Xenopus tropicalis: one gene and its partner. The protein of the gene in region 1 interacts with the protein of each later gene in a biochemical or structural test. Links are inferred from orthologs where the notes say so. Each region holds a gene or a part of one and is shown on either strand. Other genes may lie near its edges.

Region 1 (3,943 bases):
TGCTGTTAGAAAATATATATATATGACTCCTCTCAGTTGATGACTATCTGAGTCATCAAGGGCCTTCAGACAGCAACAAAGAAAATAAGGGAAGGCAGAGGAAATATATTTATTAACCTAAAGATAAACAGATGCTCTGCATGAGAAAAGAAGAGCAAGGTGAGGTAATGAGAATTCAAACAATGGCATTACAAAGGTACGGTAAAAGTCAATCTGCACTCAGTGTTCCCCCTTCTATAAAAAGGGCTAGCAGCAGGACCAGGAGACACATGACCACCTTGCATATTTCCTTCTACATCAGGAGCTCAGGCTGGGTTTGTGTTTTTTTTTCTCTTTTGGGAGGGTAGGGCAGGGAATGAAGGCAAGATAAATGAGCGATGGGAGACATAACTGGGTGAGGGCAGAAAAGCTGGTCAGATGGATGGCGGGTTTTGCACTCAGAGCTGCTCAAGTTCTATTTCAAGCAGCGCTCAAAGTAGGTGGATCCTATGTAACCACCCCGCATAGATCGCTGCACATTCTGTTCAAACAGGCGTCTGTTGTTCTGAAGAACCTCAGCAGCTTCTTTATTTAATGGGTCTTCAGGGTTTGGCTCCTAGCACGCAAAACAAATGGTCAATGGAAGCAAATTGTGGCATGCACAGGATATCGATACAGACAGACATGTTTAAGAAACACTAGGGCTGCGGTTTCATATGCTTAGCTCTTTAGAAGCTGCAACAAAAATGCCTGATTTCTGCCTTATGTTCCTTATTGCTTATAGTCACCCAGTTTGTTTTTCTGATACTGTGCTCATAAGGAGGCCCCATTATACAGCATGTAGCAAGTAAAACAGTAAATGGATCTGTATGAAGCCATGGGAACTCGGAGCTGAATGCTTCCGAGCACTGACAGCAACACACGCCATGAGTTTTAAGAAGGGTGCGCAGTATATCAAGATGGCCACTACTACAGCATGTAGCAAGTAAAACAGTAAATGGATCTTGTATGAAGCCATGGGAACTTGGAGCTGAATGCTTCCGAGCACTGACAGCAACACACGCCATGGGTTTAAGAAGGGTGCGCAGTATATCAAGATGGCCTCTACCTTTAGTTAAGTTACTGCACCAGGATCTACTAGCTCTATTGAAAATGCATTATTACACATACAAAATATATAGGGGGCCTGATGGATTCCAAGCAGATCTAAATTTCTAACTGCCAACTTTCCTGACTGTGTTGCTTTAAGCAGTCAAACACACTCAATTTTAAAAGGCATCCCTGCTCATCAGCAAGGTTAAAGCATGACTGAATCCTTGCTTCCCGATATAAATTGTCTGACTACTAACTGTAACTCACTGTAAGGGCAATGACAGTCAGGGCATCTTGTTATGGTGACAAAAACACCTCAAAAGCCATTCTATTGCTGGGAGGGTGAATGGCTGCAAGCAATGTAATCACATGAAATGCTTTACTTGCAGCGATTCCTGTTAAATGCAGCAATAATATTATATATGTATATACACACACACATATGCATATAATGTGGTTTTAAATGTATCAAACTTACCAAGAAAAGATACTGCAGGCCATAAATTATTGAATTTATTGTGAGTACAGGCTTCCAGTCCTCTCTGTATGGAAAAAGAGAACAGAAATTCACACGTGCAAGAGAGCTAATATGGCAGAGGAACTGAATCATGAATGCAAAGCAACAGTTTACATATGTATGCATATAGTGTGCCAACAAAATAACTACTTGCTGCAGTTGGATGATCTATGGCTGGATCCTACAAGATGGATGCACTCAGGGGGGAAGGTTGGGCACATGGTGCAATTTCATTCATATGATTCACATAGAAACGAATGGCTCCCTTTTAAACTTGTACATCCAGCTATGCAGGCATCAAGGAGCAGCTGATTCTACCATATACCGAAACGACCAGCGCACAAGACTATGGCAATCTGAAGTTGTTTCACACCATGCATTCTATGCTGCCGTACCAGGAAGATACCAAAAGCCAGGAGGAAGTATAAATTGTCCATGACCATAACACATCCTGGTGGCATCAGAGAACACAATCCAGCCCAGTGAAAGCAGAGATTGTAAGGAACCCAAAGCTTTTATTCAGTGACTATAAATCAACTAGAAACTATCATGTGTTTCATCCAAAATGAGAAGAAATTACCAAATTTAAAGGCAACAGAGGGTGGCAGACCTGTTGGCACAGAACACGCACTGGCACTTACCATAAAATGCAATTTTGCAGATTCTTGTTTTTAAACAAATATATTTTATCAAATGAAATCTGTTGCAGACAGGTTTCCCCAGCAGAGGGCGTGCTATAGCTACATAAAGGATGAGCAGCAAGCTGATGAGTAAATAATAAAATGTGCATACCTTAGAATATTTAAGCAGACATTGCCCTCTAGGTCTATATTTGGATGATATACCATGGTTTCACATTTCACCTTTGGAGGGTCATGTGGGTAGCCCTGTCCGACCTGCAAGCAACAAAAATTAGGCAATGGATAACAATAAAATGCTCATTTGTCCCTGAAAGTATTACTTCACAAAGCAGCAGAGTGCATTTATATAAATAAGCAAAATATATCACAGGTCTAAGCATCAACACAAATTTGTTCAAGTAACTGAAATGTTGGCGAATTTTCAGTAAAAACACTTTTGTTTTGATGCTAAGACCTGTAAGTAAACTATATTTTGCTCATAAGTAAAGTATATTTTGCTCATTTTTAACCAGCACCCAGGCAATGGACCAGTATATGTGTACATAATATAGACCATATGGCACCCCCAGCTTTATACAGATTAGCCCCTTAAAGCAGAGCTTTACTTACTGTGGCTCTGTGCTGCAAATCCTGCCCTCTTCCCAATGAAGCCCAAAACAGTGCATGGGGTCCAATTGGGGTTATGTTTCGTATATTTCAGTGCCACTGTATAAGCTAACAGATCTAACTAATAGATCTAACAGTTCACCTTGTTTCCCATTTCCTCTACATTCTTTGCCTGAAACACTTGTCAGACTATGGCCTCATCACTGAGTCAGTACAGAGAAAGCATGATCTCCAGCCCGCCAAAATGACCGAATGCAGCAGCAACAGCACCCAAAGCAATATGGGAGCAAATACGAACAGAAATACAACCCAAAGAAATATAACGCATAGGGAGGTTTTATAGTTGTGTTTCTCTCAGGAGAAAAAGAATCAAAATGCTCAATTTGCACCAGTGTTTATGGCCTTTCCAGGTCTGTGCCAAAGGCAGCTGCTTGGATAGAGAGATGATGGGACCTATGCTACTGAGCAAACACACAAATCAAACACAGAGCTCCCGCTGATGCATGGAGTCGGTGCATCCATCTGTCCCTTACAGACTTAAAGGCAAGCATTTATACATCTATATATCATGTACAATATACACAGGTGCCCATGGCCAGTACACAGACAATTTATAGATTTCATTATGGTTCCTTCCCTCTTATTGTAGAGATGGCAGATTAATAAAAGCAAATGATAACACACCCCATTCCATTTCTCAACGAGAAAATATTGTGAAAATATTAATTTCACAGCCTTGTGGTTAGCCCGAAAATGTTGTATTTTAAAGGGGTGGATCCCCTTTTAATAAACTTTTACTATTTTATAGACCGGGCTATTCTCAGCAAGTATTCAATCTGTTGTAAAAAGTTACATGGTTACATGGTTTGCTACTATTAAAAATCAGCAGGGTTTGTCCCGCTTAAACAAGTCCTGTTGTGCCGGTATTTTTGTGCTATTTGGAACGTGGTGGAGAATGCCGGTCTCTCCAAATTCTGGGCACCAGGCGGAACAGAGTGGAAAGGCCAGGGTGTGCTGGTGAGTGTGGATTGTCATCCAAACAACTATTTCCCAGTGAGTTTACCATTTTATTGTTCTAATTATTACTTATCTTTCTATTCAGTCCTCT
Region 2 (3,943 bases), on another chromosome or scaffold:
CTCAACAGTGCCCTTAAGTCTCCCCATATTTCACCTGTTCAGATGATCAGAAGTCAAACAGGAATAAAAAATGCTGAGCTGTGTAAAGAAAGTTCTCATAATGCCTCACTCCTGCTCAGACACCCAGACCAAGTGTACATGTTTGTAAGACTATGAGTCAGCTTCCCGCTGATTGGCTCAGACCCGCATTCCTAAGGGGGGGAGTGAGTTCTTAGCATTCTTGAGGGAGGGGGGAGCAGGAGAGAGGAGAAAGCAGAGAGCTGCGTGTCTGTGGCACATAAAATACAGACACAACAAATCTTTAGACAGAGAAGTCAGTGCAGCGTTTCTGTGAGTGCTTATGGCTGTATTTACATAGACCTTTCTGATAAAGCTTACTTAGTTTTTACCTTTCTTTCTCCTTTAATCGCTTCTCATGAACAACATCAACTCTCTGAACACTTTGGTTGGGCCTCTACTTGGGAACATGGGAGAAATAGGGGAAAAGAGAGAAAGCCAGAGCCCCTATGCTACATGTGCTGCTTTATAAATGCCCATAACGTTAGTATGTTTTCCTACCCAAAGATCCATTGCTTCCTCTTACCTCCAAATACTGATAGAACACTGAGAAGAGGGGCCACGTCCTTCCTAACAAGAGAGCTAACATGGACTTTGCTGTGTCAATATCCAGACTTCGCTGGTCCTTGTCCTGCAGTAAAGGAAAATGAATGGACAGTGTGCTTATTTGTTACAAAAATGCCAGGTAATGAAGCACTATCATTTATTGAAAGGAAGCTGCCCCAAGGAAACACAGAACCAACGTTTAGTAGAGGACTAAGGGTTTTATACTATGGGAGAGATCTTGTGGGTCATTACACAATGAACTGTATCCATTAAACCCATTTAAAAAGAACATTGTGGGTAAAGAAACCTTTTATGTGTCAGTAAGAAATCTTTTTATTTAAGGGGAAAATAACTAAACTAAAAAAAAAACTAAAACAAAACAAATGAAAGTACAATTGATTTTCTTCTGCAATTTCCATTATTTTTCTTTAAAACTGCTATATATAATGAACTTGCTGCCTACATGTTTTACAACATATTTTATGAGAAAAACAAGGAATTGTGAATTTGCTCTACTTAGAACTGACTCTTCTCTGCTCATTTGCTACATTTTCTTAGCAGAGAAACATTACACGACTTTGCTTTTCTCATGAAATAAATTTTCAGCAAACTTGAACAGCAGGTGGCGCTGTTGGTTCAAATTCAATATATAAATGTAACAGTCTTTCATCAGTGATGATTTGGGTACTTCTGTGATGGACGCCCAAGCATGCTTGGAAAGGGAAAAACGATAATACATAAGCATTTATACATAAAAACAGGAAAATAGTTTCCCTTGAAGAAATCTAATGGAAGAAAAACATATTTCTATATTTTTATTAAACAGCAAAAGTGGTGTGGAATGCTGGGATAAATAATGGAAGAATAGTGATCCAAACTGCAGTTATTGGTGCCAAGGGTTTGTTTCAAATTTGTTTTTCATTCTAAATAAAGACAATTTAATGATGTTTTTTGTATGATGAACCCAGGGGGTCAGCGGTTATTCTTGCATGAATCCAATTCAGACTTACCCTTGCAAAATCAAATGCGTATCTGTAAATATTCTTAAAAGCTGTGATATCATTCAGTTGAGCGCGTAGGAAATCAAATTTACTCTGCAGCTTCTCGGTACAGTCACATCTTAAACATTAAATATCAGAAAATTGAGATTAGCAAGAAGCTTAACACCTGCAACTTAAGGAGGAACCAGCAAGAACCCATAATATACTTTTTTCAAGCCCCTTTTCAGTTGTTGAGGCCCCCACTTAACACATAATAAAATTACACACATATATGAAAACATTAAAGTATTAGTCACAGTCCTAAGAGTAGATAGGTTAGTGAATAAGCCCTCTGAAATTGACCTATAAAGCTGGGCAATTTAAAAGATATAAAGGTGGGAATGTTGGGATTGTTTACACTAGCTCCTATAAAATAATAACTCCCTGGAAGTCACAAGTTGCTTAAGTCAGATATAAAGAAGGCTAACACAGGGCTTGAAGGAAACAGAAATTTAAGACCTTTGATACTCCGATAACTGTGTATTGTTTATGTATTGTAACAAAAGACAAAAGTAACAAAGAATAATGCAGTAAATAAATAATGCAATAAATAATGCAGAATAAATGCAGTAATGCATGCTGTGAGTAATACCGTGGCGTGTAAGAACCACTATAATTGCTGTGCTGTGAATATTCGGGGGATGGAGATAATGGGGGTGCCATTGCCAAAGAAGGATCCAGAAATAACCCTGCCACCTCTGGCTGTAATGTGAAATGCCAGATTGGCTGGGTGGCAACCCTACCATCTAGGGCTGGGCGATATACCGTTTAATACCGAATATCGGTGTTTTTTTTTTTTTTTTAAAACTATATTAATTTTTCAGATACCGCAATACCGGGGTGTCAGGGTACTCACCTGTGCGGCCCGGTCTCGCGCCCCTCCTTGCATGGGTGCGCGCGTCCCATTGTCCGCGGGACGTTGCGCACGCGCGTCAAAGCGCACGTACATGTCAAAGTGTGCACGTCCGTGACGCGCTGGTTCTTTGCATGCGTGGGGGGTATTTAAAGCTATCAAACGCCTCCTCCTGTGCTATGTTGTCTGCGGCCTTGCCTGGGAAACTAAGCCTGCCTGATTTACCTTACGACTTTCTGTTGCCGATCCTTCGCTTGCCTGACTCTGATTTTCAATACTGCAGTAATTATTCTCTAATTTATTAGGAAATGGGGTTAACACCTAATCATGCATGGAAAAAAAAAATACCGTCAAATACCGTGACACCGATATAATTTTGAAAAATACCGTGATATAGATTTTTGGTCATACCGCCCAGCTCTACTACCATCAGCGCTTTCAGGCCAGCAAGGGCCAGTGCCAGGAACCCTACCTATAATCCCTCCCTTCCCTGACTCTTTCCACAGATGATCACCCCCTTTTATATAGAGACCAGCCTCTGCCCCACCCATTATCCCCACCCACCCATTTCTCCACCCCCCAACCTAAAGGCCTTTATTAATAGCAAGAAAAGTGGGTCTAGGTTACAGTCAATGGGAGGCAAGAGATGATTCTGGGTGCTTTTCTGCCAGCTAAGAACATATCGAGTGCCAGGCAATTATTGTTCGAAATTACTAACTGCCATGTTTCCGAGCAACAATTGCCTGCACCATGATTACCCTGGCATGGTCACGACTGTGAAAATGTGATTGTGAGGCTGGAAACTCCACAGGTGGCCAAACAATTGCTGTCATGCAGTGTATAAGTGGCCTAACTATACACACAAAGAAAAAAATCCAAAAACCCACAAAGGCCCAATCAAAGACTTAAGGGATCATTTAAGAAAAATCCAGTGCTCTCGAGGCTCAGCTAGTCCTGTCCCTAAAGGACATGTCAAGCCAAAAAATATTTTTTGTTAGCCTAATAAAAGAGAACATAATTTTAAGTAACTTTCCATATAAATTCATGAAAACTTTTAGTGCTTTTAAAGGTATTTGTAAATGTTATTGCTATTGAAAGCAGCATTTGCCGAGTCAGAGCCCCCAGGGTAGAGAATAGAAAAGGACAAACACTACTTTTAATAGCAATTATATATACAAGTAACTTAAAAACCATTACAAATTTACAATAAATGTATATTTGAAAGTTGCTTAGAATGTTTTCTTATATTAGGCAACAAATTATTTTGTTGGGTTGATGTGTCTTGCTATGCCTGAAACTATCTGCACAATACGTACTTGATCCCAACTAGGATATAATTACCCCTTATTGGGGGCAGAACAGCCCTATTGGGTTTATTTAATGGTTAAATAATTCCCTTTTCCCTGTAATAATAAAACAGTACCTGTACTTGATCCCAACTAAGATA

Evidence for each region. The genes of interacting proteins can lie anywhere in the genome.
Region 2: the proteins of ube2m (region 1) and dcun1d5 form a complex in vitro, tested with the Homo sapiens proteins (3 studies listed by BioGRID). The link is inferred for Xenopus tropicalis from reciprocal best matches to the Homo sapiens genes UBE2M and DCUN1D5.

Annotation. Positions count from the first base shown.
Region 1 is NC_030683.2:103,017,254-103,021,196, reverse strand, and holds the end of ube2m (NEDD8-conjugating enzyme Ubc12), read right to left. Parts: intron 2,485-3,943; coding exon 2,381-2,484; intron 1,614-2,380; coding exon 1,550-1,613; intron 596-1,549; coding exon 455-595; 3' UTR 91-454; downstream 1-90.
Region 2 is NC_030678.2:161,536,931-161,540,873, reverse strand, and holds part of dcun1d5 (DCN1-like protein 5), read right to left. Parts: intron 1,723-3,943; coding exon 1,614-1,722; intron 689-1,613; coding exon 584-688; intron 1-583. UniProt on the Homo sapiens protein: Contributes to the neddylation of all cullins by transferring NEDD8 from N-terminally acetylated NEDD8-conjugating E2s enzyme to different cullin C-terminal domain-RBX complexes which is necessary for the activation of cullin-RING E3 ubiquitin ligases (CRLs).